Linked DNA regions of Alligator mississippiensis. The protein of the gene in region 2 binds, or shares a complex with, the protein of the main gene of each other region. Links are inferred from orthologs where the notes say so. Each region holds a gene or a part of one and is shown on either strand. Other genes may lie near its edges. The genes, in order: RAC2 and NCF2.

Region 1 (10,267 bases), on a different chromosome or scaffold from region 2:
GGGTTGCCAAACCTCCAGGTTTGCCCTGGAGTCTCCAGGAATTAGATATAAATCTCCAGGAGGCGGCTAAGAGTTGCTTGGGAGATAAATGATAGGGCATTCATTAAAATAAATATTAAATGTTGAATCCGATTTATACAGTACTCCCATGGGTTTTTAAAATGTAGTAGTAATGTGCCTTTGCCTTCCTGATGTAAGGTCTGCACACCGTAATTAATGTCATGACGTTATGTGCTGAAACCTCCGAGAATATACTGAAACAGAGCTGGCAGCCCTAATACCCATACTGTTAGAAACAGATGTCGGGGTTGCTGCAGATTTGGAGAAGTACAGAGAGAGTGATAAAGCCAAACAGACAAAAAATGCAGGGCCTTGGGAGATGCCATTGCTTCAAGAAAATGAGGGAGTGTGGATTGGTGATCATCATAAGAGGCTGCCTGTAGCTTAGGGAGCCTATCACTCCAGATGGACCTTTATGAGAGAAGGAGAGATAAGTATTTAGCCATGTTAGTCTGAAGTCACGCAGAAGGCCAGGTGGGGTTGCACCTTATCGACTAATCGGTTCAGAGATGAACAAGTTTATGGAAGCAACACCTCACTTCATCAGATGCTGAATTAGTTAGTCTATAAGGTGCAACTCTGCCCTGCCTTCTACCAAAGAGGTAAATAGGTAAAAACTCTACGATCTTAAAGGAGGAAGAGAAGGGCACTGTGTCAGCCATATTGTTCAAGAAAGTCTCAGACAGGCCAATCACTACAGATTAAGACAGAAAAGCCCAAGGATATACAGCAAAGGGTTTATCACCTCCTGACTCCAATAGCAATAATATCTCAGGCACCTGAGAGACTAATGGAACACAAGTAACAGATTTATTTGCTTATAACCAACAGGCTGAAATTCTGTGTCATGTGAATATCCATTGTGCACTGTTTTGTTTGGCTGGGAAAGGATACTGGAAATTGCATCTCCCAGTGGCTTGGCTTCAAAGACGAGTGGCTGGGATGGGATCTGAAGAAATCCGTTGTTTTGTTGCACAGTTGCAGCTGGATCTGAGACCCAGAACTAAGCAGATCCCTGTTAACCGCCTGATCTCAGAGTGATTACTGAACAATGCAGTCAGACACCCTCTTCACTCATTAGTCATTCCCTAGTGACCTTACCTCGCCTTTCAATTTTGGCTTTGGAAATGACTATGCTTGTAGCTTAAAGACCACTGAGATCAAGAGAAGGAGTAGACGTCAAGAAAGAAAGAGGGACAGGAAGCCAAGTGGAGAGCCAAGGCAACAGGGAAGTAAGACACAAAAGGGGAATAGAGCTGGGGCTCCATTGCATTGGGCTGACCTTGTGCACAGGTCCTGCACATACAGTCAGGAAAACTTCCCCTCTCCCACCTCCCTCACTCCTACTGCCATTGGTGTGGGGTGGGAGAAGGCTGCATTCCTCTTCATGACGAAACTGCATTAAGGCACTAGGCACATCAAACTTTCTTCCCACGCAGAGAAAAGAGAGTTTCTGCTCTCTCCACCCTCATGGGCCTGTCCAGATGATCATAGATGTGCGGTATGTGGTGCAGCAACCCATCTACAGTGATGCACACTGCATTCACTGCATGTGCAGGCGTTCCTCGCTGTCGATGTTCACTGCACACACTGCATACCACACATGCAGGCATTCCCTGCACTGTTGATTTGCATGCTGCTGGACTGCCCCATGCTGCTGGACTGCCATGGCTGCAGCTCCTGGAGGCCCTCAGGGCCCCAGGTGCTGGCCCCAGCCTCCCTTACCCCACCCAAGGCAATGTACCACAGTCCAGTGCTTACATACACAGGTGTGTCCCAGGGACAAGCAGTAGTGCCACATATTGTGCTGCTGTATTGTTCCCTGGGAAACTGCAGTGATGAGAGATACCGTCCTCCCCCCACACCACCTGCCATTCAGAAAGTTGCTCTTTGCCTACCCCACTGCATGTCTAGGATGTCTGGGATTCCCCTATATTCCCTCCCAGAATATTCTCCTAATAGGATTTTGTACCTGGGCTGGGGGGGGGGGGGGTGGCACAGGGATGGCAAAGGGGAAACTGAGCAAGAAAGAGCAGGGCAGGGGCAACAGGTGGGTCAGGATAAAGTCTGAGGTGACAGGAGAGAGGAGCAATGAGGTCACTTGGTTTTCTCCCTTCCCTTAGATTCAGGCAGGGGAAACCTTACATCTCACACCTGCCTCTTCCATTATTTGCCCCCATGCCCATCTATTGGGTTCTGCACTAATCCCACCTCCCATGGGTCATACAGATGGCCAGGCATAGCCTCTGGCAGTCTCTCACTGTAGAACTACCCCACAGACCAATTCCTCTTCCTCTTCCCACCAACTTCTTCCTCAAATGCTGGCAGACAAATAAGAAGTGCTGAAAGCCTGCCTCTCCTTTTCCTTCTCAGATACACAGAAGGAAACCCCTAATCAAGAGTACCCCTTAGTGGCAGGAGAGCAAAGCACAGAGACTAACAGCTTGTTGAGAATGCAGCTGTCAAGTAATTCCAGGACATGAATCTCTGTTTTGCCATGTAGACCCCAAAGCTCTGGGTACCTGTACTGCTCAGTAAATACTGGCATTTTCTAACTTCAGAGACTTGACTTGTGCCATCTTACTTATTTAGGAGAGGTTGTTTAGATGCAATTTCCGAATACTTTAAAGCCAACACATTGCTGCATGGAGGAAGGGGTGGGCAAGGGGGCAGAAATTTCATTGTGTCTTGCCCCACTGGAACTCTATCAGTGAAACTGAGACCTATCAATCCACAGTGCAGGTCTCTGTGCCAAGGGGCAATAAAGTAAATGGTAGCAGCAGCAAGCTATTATCTTCTTTCCTGATTTGCCACAAGATGGGGAGGGAGTGATTTTTATGGGTGCTGGCTATGAGCAGAGGCATCTTGAGATGCAAGACTAAAGGATTCAGGTCAGGTTTTATAGGCAAGAGGGGACTGATGCTTGTATCAGTGGTTCTCAAACTTTTTAGCTTCAAGACACTCCTCCATAACTATTCCAAATTTCACAGCACCCCTTTTGAGAGTCACTGAGCTAGAATTTACATTCAGAACAGTTATGGAGGAAGCTTTGAGGCTAAGAAAGTTGAAAACCAGTGTCTAGCTAGTGTCAGATAAAGGCAGGACATCGCCCCACCATGCCTCACTTTTTCCAACTTCTTTTTACCCCCAGTGTGTACCTGTATTTTCAGAGAACACATTTTCATTGGACAATGCCTGTTTGCTGAATCTGAAACAGTCTATGGGAATGTTTCCATTTCAGAAGAACACACAGCAGCCGCATCTATCCAGTTGGGAACATGAGAGCAGGAGCTCCATACCCGACAGGTTCCTGCCTGGTGGGCTACCAAGGGGCAGGGAATCTGGAAGCTTTGGGGGCCTTAGATGCCAGGACTCCTGGGTCTTGCAGATTTCCGGCCCTCAGCAAGTGGGACGTGAGTGGTCAGCCCTAAGGTTTAGGATCTTGACCTGGGAGTAGAGATGGGATACAAGCCAGGGTCGTGAGTTGAGGACTGTAGTCAGGAACAAGGCAAGGGAAGAAGCCAGGGATAGACATAATCAGCAAGAAAAGGGCCAAGAATCAAGGCACAAAGTGCTAGGATCAGAGCAGCCTACAAGTTCACCAAAAGACCCCTACTATCTGCCCTGCTGGTTTCAAGGCTGTTTGAGAGCAGGGTCTGCTTCCTACAAGCACTACAGCCAATGGCTGGCAGTCAGAGGGATGATTCATCCTCTGCTGGGACTTATGGCACCTGGGACTTCCAGGTGGTTTCCCATCCAAGTGCTAGCCAAGCCCAGGACTGGTTAGCTTCCAAGATCAAATGAAATCAGGTGCATTCAGTCCAGTATGGCCATATCCAGCTGGAGCAGTGACTCATCACACCTGGCTCCTCAGCAGCTCACCTGGGCTGTCATGGGCTCTCTACCTCCTTGGGAGCACAGGAACATATTTTATTTCAGACACTCCTGTTGTGAGGATCTCTTGGTGTCTCCAAAATGAGACACTGCAGACTTCCAGGTCCACAAAGAATGTGGGTTGAGTTTTGAATTTAGAGCCTGATTCAGGATGATTTTTTTTCCAACCACTCAAGAGTTTTCATGGACCTTAAAGTCTGCCTCCATGCCAGCATTATTCCTGCCCCTTCTATGCCCTGTCTCCTGTCCCACTTTGCCCCTGCACCTGTCTTTCCTTCCCAGCTCCTCCACACATTTCTCCTCTCAGACACCCTGCTCAGTCCTTTCTGTTAGAGGAGAGCTGGACAGAAGTCTTTTTAGGTTGTCCTGTAGTCGTAGCAGACAATTAATATACACCTTTTATTTAAGATAAACTGTGATTCTATATATTGTGATAAGGGCTTTTTTCAGAAGAGAGAGGGAGCCAGCTATGGGTCTTGGGAGTGGGGCAGGTGAATTGGTATATAGGGCCTTGTTACACCTTATGTTGTGAGCTGTACAAATGGTGATTGGTGTTAGTGCTAGCTTGGAGTTTCAAGCAGTCACACCCATAGTCTAGAAACCTTCTCTAACTGTTCCCTGCCTGCACAGCTGTGACTTGCCATGAGACCTGGTGAGCAGGGGCAGGGTTAGGATCTGTAACTATGAGTTGCCACTTTGTGGCTGATGAGCCAGGACAGGCTTCCATCCCTGCTGTTTGTGTGGGGGTGTGAAAGATCCTGGGATAATGGAGGACTTCAACTTGGGTGGCACATTTGTGAGGAGAGGGCGAACCTTATGGAACAGGAGCTGGGTAGTGCAGATCAGAGATAACCCTGACCTGGAGCGGCATAACTTTAAGCCACGTGACGAGTGCTTAAACCACTTTAAGGTGTAACATACAGACAGTCCAGAGGTTAAGCACTCCGGGAGCCACCCAAAATTATGGTGAAACAAGGTCCTTAAATATTACGGTGATGGGTGTAAACCCTCTTTAGAGCAGAAAGGGGACTCCAGGCTGCGAGGTCTCTTCTCCCTTCTTTAGGTGCTTCTGGTGCTCCACCTACTGGTGAGTACATGGTCCTATAAACTGGCATAGCATCATATGAATATTAGCAAGGGAACAACCAACCGAGTAATGTTGGGTGCAATGATTTGCTTATGCCATGTAGTACTGATGCCAATCATAGTGAGAGAGAGGCTGCTGGGAGTCAGGGGGAGAATACCGCCACAGGTCCTGCATCCTACGCCAGCTCCTTCGTGGCAATTAACTGAATGAGAGGGAGGTAAAGAGAAATTCAGCAGCAACAGAGGGAACAATGTGGCTTTTCCTATTCTAGTAAAGTTCCTTGTTCAGCATCAGAGGAAAGCAGCTCCCTCTGCATTTGTCACCTGGCAGCAGAAAGGCTGGAAGGCCCAGAAAGTATTCTCTGCCAGGAGCCAGCCCCTCCCTTTGCTCCATTTCAGCTGGAAAATCTTCACTTCCTCATGAAGATGAAAAGAAGCCTTGGGAAGCTGGGGGGGAGGGAGGAGGAGCAAAGGGGAGAGAAGAAGCCATCTCTCAGCTTTTGGCACAATTTTTTATTTAACCCCTGAGTAAAAGTAGCATGGCGCCCCCCACTGCTCAAACCAGCAGGACAGGAAGCATAGAAAGAAAGCTGCTGTCATTTTCTGATGCAGTAGAAGCCAAACCTTATACTTGCATATGCTCCGCCTTTAGCTAACGGCTTGGGCTACAGAGTTGAGGAGGAGGGGACCTGTGGGCACATTGAGTAATGCTCCTTCTTCCTCTTCCTCTCCCTCCCAGCGACCTGCCTTTCACTTCAGCTCTAGGGTTGACATTTTATTTGCACCGACCATCCTTCCATTCTCCTTTGTGAGCATTACCTGTGCCTGACTTCCCCCACCCCAGGACCAGCCTTCCTCCACCAGTCCAGAGCCATGCAGGCCATCAAGTGTGTGGTGGTGGGAGATGGGTATGTACCTTTCTATTTTAGGGGCTGGGGGCGGGAAAGGGAAGGAGGTAGGTTGTTCTTGCTAAAACTTCCTATGAAGGGAGTCAGCCTGTGACGGAGGAGGTGTGTTAGGTGGGATAGGGGAAGGGCATTTTTGTACAGCTGCTGCAACAGGACCACAGAAAGCAGAGCTGTTTGCAGGGCTGGCAAATCTACCCTCAGTGAAAGAGGTGTCATCCCCATGATGCCTCCCTTGGGCACAGCTATCTACGGTGGACAGAGCCAGGTTCAAGAATAAATGAGGGGAATCATGGTTTCCCTATGACTGCTCCCCACAAAAGCCTTCAGTGCCGGGGCAGGAGGGAGAAACTGATACATGACAGTGGATGTGGAGAGTGCAGCTTGTCTTCCTCCATTTTTGCATTTGGGTCTCAGAGCCCACCGTGTCTCTATGTTGATTGCCTGGAGGAGTCTGTTAGATGAGGCTCCCCTGGACACAGAGAAAAGGACTTGCTTTTCCCCCCTTATCACGAAGATGAGGCTTCCAGCTGCCGACAGAATTAGAAGGCAACCTACCTCTGCCATATAAGTGCAGAGTAAACGTTACCCTGGCTGATGCACCCCATTGATGATGGCTCTGTGGCCCAGCCGAGGCCTCAACAGAGAGCTTCCCCAGGGTAACCCCCAAAATGGACTGAACACTTCTGCCCCATGAGACATGCAGCCAGAGGATAGGAGGAAACATGTGAGGTGGGTTTCAGGGTTTGGTGGTGTGAGAGTTAAGCTAGTTCTGAGTTGCAAGCCGGCAGCACTGTTATCTGGGGCAGCTATCGAGTAGCAGATGAAGAGACATTTGCAGAGGCCCAGCTCCCCGCAGTCACTTCCTCCTTCAAAACCAGCTCAAGGAGGAAGTTTATAAGCAAAATATCAAATTATAAAAAAAACACCTTGGGGGCTGAGGGAGGCAGAGAGGAGGAGCCAGAAATGCAGGGCAAAAACCCTGCAACCAAACAAAGGCTGGTATCTCTCCAGGAAGTGCTGTGAAGACCAGAACTTAAGTTACAGAGCCGTACCTGAAACTACGCACACAGGAAATACTCTATGACTAACCCCAGAGCCTCTTGCAGATCTCTGCTAGGCCCCACATGCACTGACCTCATGACCACCCCACGAGTAGTCCCCCATAACTCTCCTAGTGTTATAGTCCTTCCCCATGAGCTTACTAACCTCTCTTTCCAAATACAGCTTCACTAACTCCCTTGCCTTCCAACCCAGCAGCTCTCCCCTGAGACCTCTGCTGAGAGGGATGAAAGAACTTGGAGAATGATGACAGAATGGGAGAGAAGGATTGAGAAAAGGGAGACGGGAAAGGTGGCAGGGGATCCAAAAGAGGAGGAAATGTGTGCAAGACTCCAGAGAAATGTTGCACTTCCTTCTGAGCCTTCATGACCTAGCAACTGGGCTGTGAGACCATGACTCATGTTCCTTCTCATTTCCATCACTACCTTGCTCTGTACTTGCAAGGTGCAGTAGGCCAGGCTGGGGAGAAAACCTTGGGCATCAGACCTGCCAGGTGTACTGGCACCTCTGAAGCAGCACGTTGTGTGACAACCCTCACAGAAGTGGGTGGGTGGATGGAGGGAGCCAGCCAGGCTCTCACTTTTCTCACCATTATACCTGAGTGCCCATAATCCAACCCAGGTAGTGCCCTAAGAAACAGGTCACTATTGCTGTCACGATTTTTCTGATTGGAGAAAGGAGGCACGAGGGAGTTAATGGCAGAGGTAGAGAAGGCACTTAGTCTACTAGCTATGGGCTCATCCTTCCCTCATTGGAGCTAGCTCTGTTTCCTTTCTCCCTTTCCCCTCCCCACCCCAATCTCTCCCCACCCTCTTGTTTCCATCACCATCACCTCTCAGTGATCCACCACACAGCCCTTCCTCTTTCCCTTTTCCATTAGCCTTCCTTCCCCAAGCAGACAGGCTCACTTTCCTCTTTGGGCTTCCAAGAAGACAGCTTTCCTGATCCACTTCACAAGAGAACTGCTCTTCTGGTGTGGTACATTACCTGCCAAGGTGCAGCAGCTTTAAGCCCAGTTTATGGAAATGGGAGTCTCCTCCCTTGCTTGGTCTAAGGGCCTTATGGCTAAGGGCAAGTAAAACTCAGGGGCATTCGAACCCCAAGCCTCCAGGCTTGGGCCTGCAAGTAGGATGCCTGCCAAAGGTTTTCATAGATTCATAGATTCATAGATGTTAGGGTTGGAAGGGACCTCAATAGATCATCGAGTCCGACCCCCTGCATAGGCAGGAAAGAGTGCTGGGTCTAGATGACCCCAGCTAGATACTCATCTAACCTCCTCTTGAAGACCCCCAGGGTAGGGGAGAGCACCACCTCCCTTGGGAGCCCGTTCCAGACCTTGGCCACTCTAACTGTGAAGAAGTTCTTCCTAATGTCTAGTCTAAATCTGCTTTCTGCTAGCTTGTGGCCATTATTTCTTGTAACCCCTGGGGGCGCCTTGGTGAGTAAAGCCTCACCAATTCCCTTCTGTGCCCCCGTGATGAACTTATAGGCAGCCACAAGGTCGCCTCTCAACCTTCTCTTGTGGAGGCTGAAGAGGTCCAGGTGCCCTAGTCTTTCCTCATAGGGCTTGGCCTGCAAGCCCTTAACTATACGTGTGGCCCTTCTCTGGACCCTCTCCAGGTTATCCACATCCCTCTTGAAGTGTGGCGCCCAAAACTGCACGCAGTATTCCAACTGCGGTCTGACCAGTGCCCGATAGAGGGGAAGTATCACCTCCTTGGATCTATTTGTCATGCATCTGCTGATGCACGATAAAGTGCCATTAGCTTTTCTGATGACTTTGTCACACTGCCGACTCATGTTCATCTTGGAGTCCACTAGGACTTCCGTGCCACCCAGCAGGTCATTTCCTAGGCAGTAGGTATGCTGGACATTTTTCCTCCCTAGGTGCAGCACTTTGAATTTCTCCTTGTTGAATTGCATTCTGTTGTTTTCTGCCCATATGTCCAGCCTGTCTAGGTCTGCTTGTAGTCGTTCCCTGCCCTCCGGTGTGTCCACTTCTCCCCACAGTTTTGTGTCATCTGCAAACTTGGACAGAGTACACTTCACTCCCTCGTCCAAGTCGCTGATGAAGACATTGAAGAGTATCGGTCCAAGGACTGAGCCCTGCGGGACCCCACTGCCCACACCCTTCCAGGTCGATACTGACCCATCCATTACAACTCTCTGAGATATCATCTCTATTCCTGTGGACTATTGCAACAGCTAATTCATAGATTCATAGATGTTAGGGTCGGAAGGGACCTCAATAGATCATCGAGTCCGACCCCCTGCATAGGCAGGAAAGAGTGCTGGGTTTAGATGACCCCAGCTAGATGCCTAACCTCCTCTTGAAGACCCCCAGGGTATGGGAGAGCACCACCTCCCTTGGGAGCCCTTTCCAGACCTTGGCCACTCTAACTGTGAAGAAGTTCTTCCTAGTTCTTTCTCTTCCTTTGGAAACATCTGAAGCCCCAGGTGCGGGTGGAGGATGTTTGCCGGTAGTAGGGCCACTTATGGTTCTGGACTCTTGGATTTGGAATTAGTTTTGACTAATTTGGCCTTGGATACAAGTTAAATTTAAAAAAAAGCCTCTCTCCTGTCTACCAGTGCCTCTCTTGGAGGTGGACTGCTCTGCAGTTCTTGCCACCTGGTGCCCCACCCTGCTCCCCTGGAGGTGAGACCAGAGGGGAAGGCCCAGAAGCCCCAAGAGTGGCCCCTGATATGTGGGAGGAGGAGCTGAAGAGGGCACCTTGCCTGCTGCCTGTAGCCCCCTCAGAAATGACATTATAGCTGGCAGGAATGTGCAAGAAATGCCCAGGCAAGCCTTTGGTCTTCTGTGTGAGGTGCTCTCTCCTGGCTCTGGTTGTGCTGCTTCAGTAGAGCATTAGCAAGTGCCATCCTGTCAAAGATGCCACTGCTTGGATGAGGTATAAAATAGAGGTGTGGCAAGCACATAGCCATGTGTCTAGCCGGGGTAGCAGAACCAGAGCAGATTCAATCTGGGTGCTAGCACTGTTGCCCTGCATTCTCAGTGCTGTATGAGATGCTGTGTACTCTCCATCACAGCTTGCCTGAAACTGCTTAGTGCTGTGCCCTGATAAGCAGCAGTCCTCCTCTACCACAGACTGGCTGCCTTTCAGACCCTTGTCAGGTCTATAAAGATGTCCTGCAAACCAACAGACTAGAAGGCACTACAGTGATGAAACTGCATGCCTCTCTTTCCTCCTGTTTCCAACCTGGAACAGAGCTCAGGTCTGTGAGTCTGAATTTTCTTCCTT
Region 2 (11,336 bases):
TTTGGCCCATGTGCTACACAGCTTCAGTCCTAGCCCTCCCAAAAACCCTTCATTCACATTTTCCCCATATGCTGCAAAACCCATGTTCGTATATCAAGCCACAGCTCTTGGCTGTTTTTGTAAAGCTTCTGATACAGGATAGTTCCCCTTCTTTATAGACTTCAGTCTCTTTTATCCCTATAAGCCCCTGGCTTTTTCAGTGGCAGCCAAGATGGCCATCGAGGTACCTCAAGGATAGAGGAGAGTTGAATTTAGTGCAACTGTCCCCACCACCATGAATGTTGCATGCCTCCCGAGGCTGGGGGTGGGGGGGCGTAGCAAGCTCCCGCAGGCAGTAGTCGCAGTGTTGGCAGCAGGGGCATAGTGGCGTTGAGCGAGGAGCTCCCACAGGCAGCCACAGTAGTGTCAGCGGTGGGGGCAGGCCGAGCAGGGAGCTCCCGCATGTGGCCGCAGTGGTGTCAGTGGCTCGGGGGAGGGGAGGGTGCTGGGTGGTGAAAAATAGAGGACATAAAGGCGTCCAGTTTCATATCAATAGAGGACAAAGGACCAGAAAACTGGACTGTCCTCTATAAAACTGGACTAATGGCCACCTTAGTGGCAGCCCAGGAAGGAATCAACACGTGGAGAAATTATTCTTTACCAAAATGGCTTGCATAGCCTTATCAATCTTGTTGTGTCGAGGCTCGCTCTTCAAGCTCGTTGCCAAGATGAGGTGCTCTTCTGCTTTTTTCCAGTCCTCCAGTTTGGCATAGACCAGAGCTATGTTGTATAACACCTGCAAAAAGGAAATTTGTTAAGAAAAACAAAGGCTCAATGAATGGAGGTTCTCAAGTGAACCAGCCTCTAATGAGGAGTGCCTTAAGCTACTGTCCCTAAAAGCAGTAGAGAACTCAGAGCCGAGAGAGCCCCATGTGCTGCCAGTGCTACCTGCTGTTTGAAGATACTCCAAGGGCTTTGTTGAGTCTTATTTTCCTAGAGAAATCTTCTAGAAAGCTCCACCTGGAGGCAATGAGGTGATGTTTGTTAATACAGGGTGAGGGGAAGCTAGGCAGGACTAGCTTCCCGTTCCAAAGATTCCTAGTCTCTGCTTGCCTCCTCTCATAAATCAATCACTTGCTTTTTTGTGAGGACATGAAATCTGTCATGCTTGCTATCAACTCACTTTCCTTCTTATTGGGTTTGGGTACAAAGAAACACCAGCTAATTAATTAGCTCTAAAGTTACTAGTCCTAGGGACCAGCCTCTAATTTCTTCCATGCGAGCTCTGAAGGCTGAATGTTGGCTTGTCACTCATATATGAGGTCAGGGTGCAGTGGTGCACCCACTCCTTGATTCCTGGCCCACCCAAATTTTAAAGCCAACTGCCTGGCAGGTGCAGTAGCAATGAGGGAGTCAACTGACTTCATGGCTCCTTGTAAACTGCCTGATTCCTTCTATAGTCTTGATTCTGCCTGTTTCTCCTTTTTAAGTCTCGATGTTCCACTAATCAAGCTACCCTTTCTTCTGTAGTTCTACTGTCTGTTAGCTGTTTTTAACTCTATCTAAAAACACTAACTCAGCTGTAGAAATGTTAACTCGGGTGAACGTTTATTCAGCTGTATAAGCAACTTTCAGTGAAGTACTGGATGCATTATCAGGATTCTCAAGAAGGCTAGATTTTGTTTTATGAATCTGAAAAAATATACATTTTATTCTAATAGCTAATGTTGCAGGACTAATGCAACAATATCTTTGGATTATTTTGGCCAAGTTTGTTGTGTTGTTTTTTTTATACAAAGTACATGATATATAGCAAATTAATGCATGTTGCAGTTAAGTTATATTTGGTTTTGCTTTGATCTTAAATGGAATAATATAGCCCTTAGGCCCTTAGCATATTAGTAAAGTCTCTAGTTTCTTTTTAACTGGAGAAATATGTGTTGCGTTATATTTGATGTATCACCTCCCACCTTTTTCTCTTCCTATATGGAGGCCTCATGTCTGAGTTACACCCACTGGCTGTGTGGCATTGGATTGCAATATATCTTCACCACTTAACTTGTTCTGCTTCATGGATAGCCTTGCTTGTTTCAGTGTCACATTTCCCGTATGCTCCTTACCTCACAAGCAAACAGCCTGAACTGCAGCCCCAGGATCTTATAGTCTATCAGCAGGTTCCCTCGCAGCTGAGCCAGTGCTTCTTTAAAGTCTTCGACTGCTGAATCATAGCTGTAAAGCAAAGTTAATAATCTGTCAGGGTCCACCAAGAAAAGGGCAGGGCCTTTTGCTGGCTGGGCTGCCTGGTGCCTTTCAAGAATGCAGTCTTGTTCTCATCCTGAGTCACTTGGCCAGCTAATGACATGCCAGTAGCCTTTTACCACAGCCCAAGCCCTTCATCCTGAGTCATTCTTGGGAGAAAAGAGGCTGTCCAGATCTAGGCAATTGTGTTCTGACTCTTCATTGGCCAATTGTGCTTGCCAGTCTCAAGGCTTTTGAGTCTGTTACCTGCATCTGCTTTAGACCCAAAGCTGTGACCAGTGTTAATATTATTGTGTATCATTTATATTCTGGTTGTGCCCCATCACATTAGGTGCTGTGTACACTCCCTTTTGTAAAGGTTTCTTATATAGGATTTAGCTAATCCTCTCATTGCTTTTAAACACACACTGGGAAATTTCCGAGGCTCCCAAGAATAGTCTTCATCCGTAGGTTGGGACCACTGCTAAGCATGAGATAGTATTTACCTTGTTAGGTGCGTTCTGGCTCCAGTTACCTCTGCAGCATTCCAGCATGACTGACTTGTCAAAAGGCTTCTCTGCCAGTCAGGGAAACAAAGTTTGACTTTTACACACCCACCCACCTCACTTCCATTAGGGAGTTTCCAATACTTACTTTTCTCTCTTGTAAAATACTGTTCCTCTCTGGAAATAGGCCACAGCCAAGTGCTTGTCACAGTTAATACTCCTGGCAAATGCCTGCAGGGGATAGGAGATGATTCATACATGAAACCTATTCCCCAGAGAGAAGTTGCAAAGGGAGACCTGGATACGGAGTATAGGGATGGGGAGAAGGCAGCAGCTGCAGCTGCGGCTAGTGCTGCGGTAGAGGGGAGAGTGGAACAGAACCTGGCATGTGCGGTGCTTGCCTTTGACTGGTAGGAGGCATGAAACCAGCATCTCAGGAGAAGGGATGAAATGAAGGATGAAATGGAAAGGGAAATGTGGAGAGAAGGAAAAGGATTGTACCTCCTCTTTCCACCCTTCAGCTTTGGCTCTTGTGTTTCACCTGGCCAGAGGCCCATAAATTAAATACCCCCCCACTTCCCCCGCCCAGCACTGAGCAGCAAGAATTAAATGAAGTATGTGACCTATTGTGCTGTAACTGTCTCTTCATCCTGCTCAGGACAGGTCTATCAATTGCTGGGCCATCCTCCCTAATAGACCATTAGTCACTATGTGGCTGCCTGTTGGTGTGAACCGCCAGGTTGGCAAATACTCCATGTGGCATCATCTGGTTGGCTGAGCAGTGGCTGAGCTGCAGCACGGAGGAGTTCTTCCCCTTGCACCCAGCCAGGCCAGCTTGCCAGCTACCTGACAGGTTTGTGCCGAGTGCCCTTCAGCCTGTCAGGCACAGATGTGTCTGACCTGCGAGTCAGGCTGTCAGTCATTTCATCATCAGTCTACTTCTGTCAGTCCTCTCACTTGTCAGTGGGCCCTTCAGTCTATCTGGCAGGGCTGGGTGTGCCGCTAAGTCGGATTTGAATGTAGAAGAGGCAGGGGCAGGAGGAATCGAGATGCTCTTACTCACCTGCTCTGCCTCAGCCAAGTTCCCCAGGATCAGATGGATGGAGCCAATGTTAAAGCAGAGTTTGGAGGAGGGGTTCTGAACTGAAGTGAAGGCCTCCAGCGCTGCTCTCCAGTCCTTCTGATCGGCAGCACGTACCCCGTCATGCCATAGCTGGATCGTCTCAGCCAGAGACATGGTTCCTCAGGAGCCTTCAGTGGGGTATCTGGTAGTGCGATGGCAGGTCTCCCCACAACTTGGAGTGGCTTTTCCTTACTCTGGGCCCTCTTTCCTCTGCACTGCAGCTCGGCCAGTGCACTTCTACTTGTACTTCTGTATTCCCTCCAGCACCCACACAGTGTTCAATGTCGCAAACTTATCAGGAAGTGTCTACACTTGCCAATGAAAAACAGCCCTGCTGAGATGGGGAAGTACAGCAAATGCTGGCTGACGTGAATCCGAGCAGCCCCTTGCTGTGTTATTATAAATCCTCCTCCTCCACCCACGGCTATTCGCCTCTTTCGGTTTTTTTTTTTGCCTCATGGGATCTATAATTTGAGGCTTATGTTTGGCATCGCACTGCTGTCAGTGTAGTCACAGTTGAGTCAGAGTTCATCAGTGATGTGGCATAGAGGAACTGGGGCATGAAGAAAGAAGGTCCTGCCATGTTCCTGCAGCCGTGTTCCTTTTAAAGGAAGCGCGCACGCTCTTAACTTCCAAAGGCAGCACCTAGCTGCAGGCTGGTTGCTGATGGGAATTCCCCAAAACCTCTGTTGAGAGCGAGAACTCAATTAGGCTAATTATGCAAATGCTCTCTTTGATTGGAGGGGTCTGTCCCAATGCTAACCATTAGCCTTCAGCCCAGCTCCAGGTAGCTAAATATTAATAAGCTCCCACCAAGAAAAATCACAGACTCTCATGAACCATTCAACAGCCCGACTATATTAAACAGACTCAGAGAAGATACCAAAACAACAGGTACGTATGAAAAGTGATTAATACAATTATACACAATGGCAATTACAGGACTATATACACAAGTTGGGGGAAGAAACAACATTTTGAAGGGTCACAGCTAGGGACTGCACTTCAGACAACGCCTATCTCACTTAACCACATACAACACAACTTACAACAATTCTCAACAGCAGCAACAGCAAGTAAACCAGACCAGGCCCAGGTGCACCAAGCACAACACAACTTGCACTCCACAGATGCACAGACACCCACCAATGCACACGCAAACTCACGTGTGTGCCCGTAGATGCAGCTTCTCAGCCTATTTAACTCTCTCAGTCACACCACTCATGTCAATCTGCCACTCATCCAATCATTCAGGAAGGAAGGCTGCCAATCTCATGCAACCATACTGCTGACCCTACCTGAGGTATAGAATACCATACCACACATTGGCAACATTTTCCCACCAAAACTGTATTATACAGTATTGCCAGCCCCACCATGCCAAAAATCATGAGACGAACTCTTAAAAAATCAAGAGATTGGCACGTAAATCATGAGATGCTAGTTTTGAAGTGTGCGTGTAAGGGGTGTTATTTGTGAAGGTGTTGGGGGCTGTGGGTGTGTGTGTGGGGGGGGGTTTGGAGCCCAGGGAGGGAGGGTCCCCGCACACCCTGGCAGGATGCGAGGTACTGTGGGTCAAGAGTGAGAAGCAGCAGCAGGGCTAGGTGGGCTGTGGCTTGGGAGTGAGGAGCAGACAGACAAAGATACAGACACACAGAGACACTGATAGACACACAGACAGCACCCAGCTGATAAGTAGAGGGAAGGGCTGGGAGTGGGGCAGATTGAGGCCCCCATGGTGATGGAGGGAGTGGGGCAGGGGTGAATGGGGCCCCAGTGCTGGGGCAGGTCATCCAGAGGTGCAGGGGAGGGACACTGCTTCCCACAGCAGCGAACACCACTGAGGGAGGCATGGGGGCATGTGCCCCCCCCCCAAGGGGGAGAGGTGGACTGCCCTCTGCGGGCTGAGGCTCTGCACCCTGGTGCCTCACCCCAAGAGCTCAGCTGTGTGATGCCATTGCTGCCTGCTGGGCGGGCAGGGGATGTGGGGTGCGCTGGCACATCCCCTGCCCACCCAGTGGCAGGAGGCACACTGGATGTGCGGCTGAGCTCCTGGGGCAAGGCAGCAGGGCACAGAGGCCCTGTCCACAGTGGGCACCCCACCTCTGCCCTACTCTCCCCCTCCCTACCTCTTTCCCTCCACTTACCAGCTGGGAAAATCCAGAGATCTGAGGGTTGGATCCAAAGATCATGAATCACAGTTATTTTGACTTTGAAAGCCTGAGTCTCACCATGGTTTTGAAACAGTTGGCATTACTGAGTATATAATAGAGGCTGACTGTATGCTCACATGTCTAAAGTAGGCAATGGACCTATAAAGTTAAAAAGTTTTTACTATATACAAGGGGACACTGCAGCTAGGGCCAACAGTTGCCAGCAGCCCAGCTGGTAGCATCATCTTCACTGTCCTCCAAGGGTAAGAAGAAGGTGGAGTACATTAAGCTCTTTTAGCAGGCTCAGGCAGGGGTAAACCAAAAATACCCTTGAAATAACCGTAAAATGCTGCTGAGTGTGTACCTTGGTCACATAGACAAGGGTGTTGTAACACCTTCAACTGCTTACAATGGCTTCCTCCTCCAGAAATGTCTTCAAGTCCCCTTGGCATGGGGAAGATGGACTGGTGTCTTCTCAATGGGTATGTTCAACCTGAGGCAGTTTTCTTCCCATGTATAAATCCTTGAGCAACATTAAAACATGGCTAAGGCTTGTAATAAAGCTGACTGAGTTGAACTATAACCAGGATATTAATCAGGAGGTTACAATGTTTTGTGTGCCTCAGCACTTCAGCAACACTGTGGCCCATATCAGGAATGATTACATCTGGTTTTTGCTAGCTCCTCATGGGTATCTACCCTTCAGTGCGATCTGCAGACCTAATGCAGTGTCGTTTTTCATCTTTCTCACCTCCTCAGACGTTCTTATCTGATTGCCTCATTGCATGGTCTGGTCCTGGCTAAGATGAAGAAACAAAATGTGTTTTAATCAGTTAAGGGACTTCCTTGATGTAACTGGTTGCTTAACCTCATAAGAATGATTGCATCTCTTATTAGCAAATTAGCTGAAGGTATGAAGATATTCCCAAGAGTGCTGCAAGTTAAAGAGCTGAATACATTGTCAGGTGTGCTCTCAGCCATGGGGACTTCCCCAGTGGCTCATGGAATTGGGATCAGGTCTCTAGGCTTTTTTACTGCCAGCTGGCTGGTTTGTATCTGGTTCAAGCAGGTCATAACAAAAGTCACTACTCTCTTATGACTGTAAGCCTATAGAGTATGACCTAGCTTTTGCTACTGCCTAATAAAGAGGTGTTTGTTTCATAATGTGACTGCTAAGCTTTACATGCTGATAATCTGCCTTAGCAGAGAGGTCAAACTCTGAATAGGCCATACAACCTAGGCGGGCTTTCCTCCCAGTGTAACTCTGGTCCTGGGGACAGAATCAGGTTTAATTAATCTTGGAGTGAGGTTGGCATGTTTTTACCTTAAAAGCTAATTGAGGTCAACCCGAAGGAATAGACTTGGCTGACTTCAGCCAGCTCCTTGAGGTAAAAGCTATCTGTCTGAGCCTTAGCTGGGAAAAGGATCACCCCAGAGTAAGGGAAGCTTCATAGTTTCATAGTAGCTAGGGTCAGGAGGGACCTGAACAGATCATCTAGCTGATGGGGGTTTCTGAGCACTCTTACCCCCCTTGCTTCTCTGAGGGACTGTTACCCTTTGGGCCTGGAGGATCGCCCCCTTAAGGTACAACCATCCCTCACGGACTCCCATCTCCTCTACCTTCTGGGCCCTCAGTGCCTCCCCCACTAATCTCTGAAGCTCATTGAAGTTGGCCCTTCTGAAGTCAAGGACTTTAGTCTTGCTATAAGTCCTTGACACCCTGTGCTGGATAGTGAATTCCAGCAGGTGATGATCACTATTGCCCAGGTGATCAAGGACCTGCAATCCCCTCACCAGGTCATCCCCAGTGACCAGGACCAGGTCCAGGAAGGCATTATCTCTAGTGGGGCTGTGCACCTCCTGGATAAGGTGAAGGTCTTGTAATACAGCCAGGAACCTATGTGAGCAGTCAGACCTGGCTGTCTGCTCGTCCCAGCAAATGTCTGGGTAGTTTAGGTCACCCATGATAGTGACATCCCTTGACCTAACTGCCTCCATAAGCTGACTGGAGAAGTCCTGGTCCAGCTCTTCCCCCTGGTTGGGTGGTCTGTAGTAGACACCCACCCTAAGGTCCCTTTTGCCACGCCCCCCTTGTAGTTTGACCCACAGTGTCTCCGCACAACCCTCCTCTAACCGGAAGCTAATCCTTGAGGATGCGAGTTGCTCTTTGACATAGAGTTCAACCCCCCCTCCCCCCCAACCTTTCCTCTCTGTCCTGTCCCTTCTATATAGGGTGTATCCCCAAATGCCCACCACCCAATCGTGGGTTTCTGTGAGCCCTACTAAGTCTGGATTCTTACTTGCAATCAGGAGGCACAAGTTCCTCCTGCTTGCTTCCCATACTACGAGCATTGGTGTAGAGGCACTTGAGGCCTCCTGAGGGTGCACGTGCCTCCCCCCTACTTCCAGGGCTGTTGTGGCCCCCTATTTCCAGGACGTTGTTGCTTACTTGGGCATCCCTTTCTCTTGTCACCCTGCATGCTGATGAAGCATCCTCTCCACACGGAGTGGCCCCTTCCCCAGTGAAGCTAGTTTAAAGCCCGCCATGGGTATGTGCACAGCCCCACTTGGCCTGTCAACGCCCACTTTGTGCCTTGGGAAGAATAATAATTCTTCTCTATCACGTCTTTGCAGCTTCTTGTAGACGTTTCACAGTAAAGTGGCAGAGGGCTTTGGTCTTCAGGGGCTGTGAATTCAGCCCATTTCACCTGCACTAAAATGACCTACTTGGGCCGCTGACTACATGACTAGCTTGGGAGTTAAGCCACCTGCCTTCTGTTCCCATCACTGTTATGTCCTGCAGGCAAACCACTGTACCTCTACCTCTATGGCTCAGCTCCCAAGCCAACACGGACTCCTGAGAAACAATGACTCATTTTTAACTTAGAATCCAGTACTGTATGTCTTAACCTCTAATTTTCCTTTTGGATCTCAGGTTAGGAGCTGAGAGACCTGTTTATATCTATTCTGTCCCAACTCACTCCTGTGGGATTACTGTGGCAACATGCAGCAACGTAGAGGAGAACATAGGCTGCAAGCTTCTTTGGCCCCAGGAAAAGAAAAGGGAAATCTGCAAGGAGCTTAAGTAATATGAAGAAAAAGGACAGGAAGACACAGCATATAAGTATGAAACTCCTCTGTGGAGACTTTTGTTCTTTTTTTTGACTAAGAGGCATGTTAAAACCCAAGGATATTTCTCCTTTTAAATGGAGGTAGAAGTGGAGAGGCAAGAAATCAGCTTTTGCTTTCCATTTCCTTCAGCCTCATGGCTTTAAATATATAGTTCCTTTACTAAAGATTTTACTTTAGATGCTAATATGCCAAGGATATTGGCATGGAGCTTGGGAAACAGGAGTTCAATTCCTAGCTCAGCACCTTCCATGCAGCCTTGGGCAAATCACTTCATCTCATGGTGCCTCAGTTTCCCACTTTCTGTCTTATTTAGTTGGCAAACTCTTATAGGGGCAGCCACAGTTTCTTCCTAGCGCACAATCTTAGCTGGAGGCTATAGGTGCTGATGTGTTAGGATAAATACAAATAATAACCTTTCTTCAAATGGCAAGCAATGCTTCAAACAGATTTTTTTTGTTTCTAAAATACAATGTCTCCAATTGGGTGGTAGCTTGATTTATACAGTATCAGTTCAAAAGGGGAGAGTATCTAAATGACACCTATTACAGTAAAATGTAGATAATTCAGATGGACAGACTTATTGCTACTGAAAGGTGAGCCCTTGTATTTATCCCTAGATGGGGAAAGCAGAGTAGGCTTATGGAAAAATGGTGTGTGTAGGAAATGGACAGCCATAAAGATCCATCAGTGTCTAACCACTCTCCTAGTAGAGAGGCTTTTTTGGGGGGTGTAACCAATCAATGTATGTCCATGAGTTATATTTCCTGTGGTTGATGGTGCAAATTGTATCACTTACTGGAGTGGACAGTAGGACTGTGTGAATAGGGAAGTGTTTGATTCAGATTCGGCCAATTCAGAGAACAGCGATTTTTTTTTTTTTTTTTGGATCACTGTCCTGAATTGATTTGGCTGAATCAGCTTTGGAAGATTGGGAGAGATATGATGATTCAGATTGGCAAGGGAGAGGCAGGCACAGCCAGGTGGCTGCCAGTTCTCTCACTGCTCCTCCAGCTATGCCTGCCTCTCCCTGGGTGGGGGAGCCATAGGAGAAGCCCCCATGGCTGCCCTGCCCATCCCCATCCCCAACCTGGCCCCAGCTTAGTCTCGGCACTTAAAAAAAAAAAGCCCTGCACTCACCGGCTGCAGCAGCACTGATTGAGGCCTCTGGGTGCTTATGGCAGAGCCCCCCTGCACAGAGTGAAGCAGTGCAGGGGAGCAGTGGGGATCGCTCCTCCTACCCCCGCTTGGTACCTGTGCAGCAGCTACTCCATGGCATGGGTGCAGCACAGCTCAGCAGGGTGCTGCACGCTGTCTGGGAGCTGGGGCTGAGTGGTGCCTGGCTCCAGCTGACAGGTGGAGCCACCCCTTGGACTCAATGAATACCACGAGGTATACTCTTCACCAGAGTGGTGAACAATTTTCGCAGGGGACAGTGTAGCAGACTTACCTTTTGAGCTCTGGATGAGTCTTGGGCTCGAGATCCTGCAGTTTCGATTGATGGAGCCCATCCACCAATCAAAAGCAAGCCAGGGTAAGCAAGGCCATGCCCTTTCCCTGAAGGGAGGGGGGCAAGGAGCAGTCCGGACCTGGTTTAAGACTGTGCTCTGCCAGGTCTGGAGCGCTGGACCCTGAAAAGGAGGGGAGGTATTGAGAGTGGCCTCACTAAAGCTGGGTGAAAGACCCCTCCCAGTGGGTGGGCCCTGAGACCCTGTTAAGAGTGGGTGAGGGGACCGCTGTTCTCCAGGCTTGGGGAACAAATTCATAATTAGACTTCTATGTGGGTGAGGTTCTAAGTTTATGTTGCACTTCATAAAATCATAGAAGTAGGGTCGGAAGGGACCTTGTAAATCTTCAAGTCCGACCCCCTGCCTGGGCAGGAGGGAAACTGGGCTCAAGTGACCCCAGTCAGGTAGGCATCGAGGCCCTTCTTAAAGACCCACAGGGTAGGAGCCAGCACCACTTCCCTTGGAAGTTGGTTCCAGATCCTAGCCGCCCTGACTGTGAAGTAGTTCCTACGGATGTCTAATCTAAACCTACTCTCCAACAACTTGTGGCCATTATTCCTTGTTATCCCGGGGGGCGCCAGGGGAAACAAGGTCTCCCCCAAACCCTTCTGGTCCCCTCTAGTGAGTTTATAGATGGTCACCAGGTCCCCCCTCAGCCTTCTCTTGTGAAGGCTGAACAGGTTCAGGTCCCATAGCCTCT

What was found.
Region 1: NCF2 (region 2) and RAC2 share a complex: the UniProt entries of both Homo sapiens proteins name them as parts of the phagocyte NADPH oxidase complex. The link is inferred for Alligator mississippiensis from reciprocal best matches to the Homo sapiens genes NCF2 and RAC2.

What each region holds. Positions count from the first base shown.
Region 1 is NC_081827.1:100,469,402-100,479,668, forward strand, and holds the start of RAC2 (ras-related C3 botulinum toxin substrate 2), read left to right. Parts: upstream 1-5,719; 5' UTR 5,720-5,913; coding exon 5,914-5,948; intron 5,949-10,267. UniProt on the Homo sapiens protein: Plasma membrane-associated small GTPase which cycles between an active GTP-bound and inactive GDP-bound state.
Region 2 is NC_081828.1:54,295,945-54,307,280, forward strand, and holds the start of NCF2 (neutrophil cytosol factor 2), read right to left. Parts: upstream 4,147-11,336; 5' UTR 3,961-4,146; coding exon 3,787-3,960; intron 2,955-3,786; coding exon 2,872-2,954; intron 2,209-2,871; coding exon 2,100-2,208; intron 776-2,099; coding exon 641-775; intron 1-640. UniProt on the Homo sapiens protein: Subunit of the phagocyte NADPH oxidase complex that mediates the transfer of electrons from cytosolic NADPH to O2 to produce the superoxide anion (O2(-)).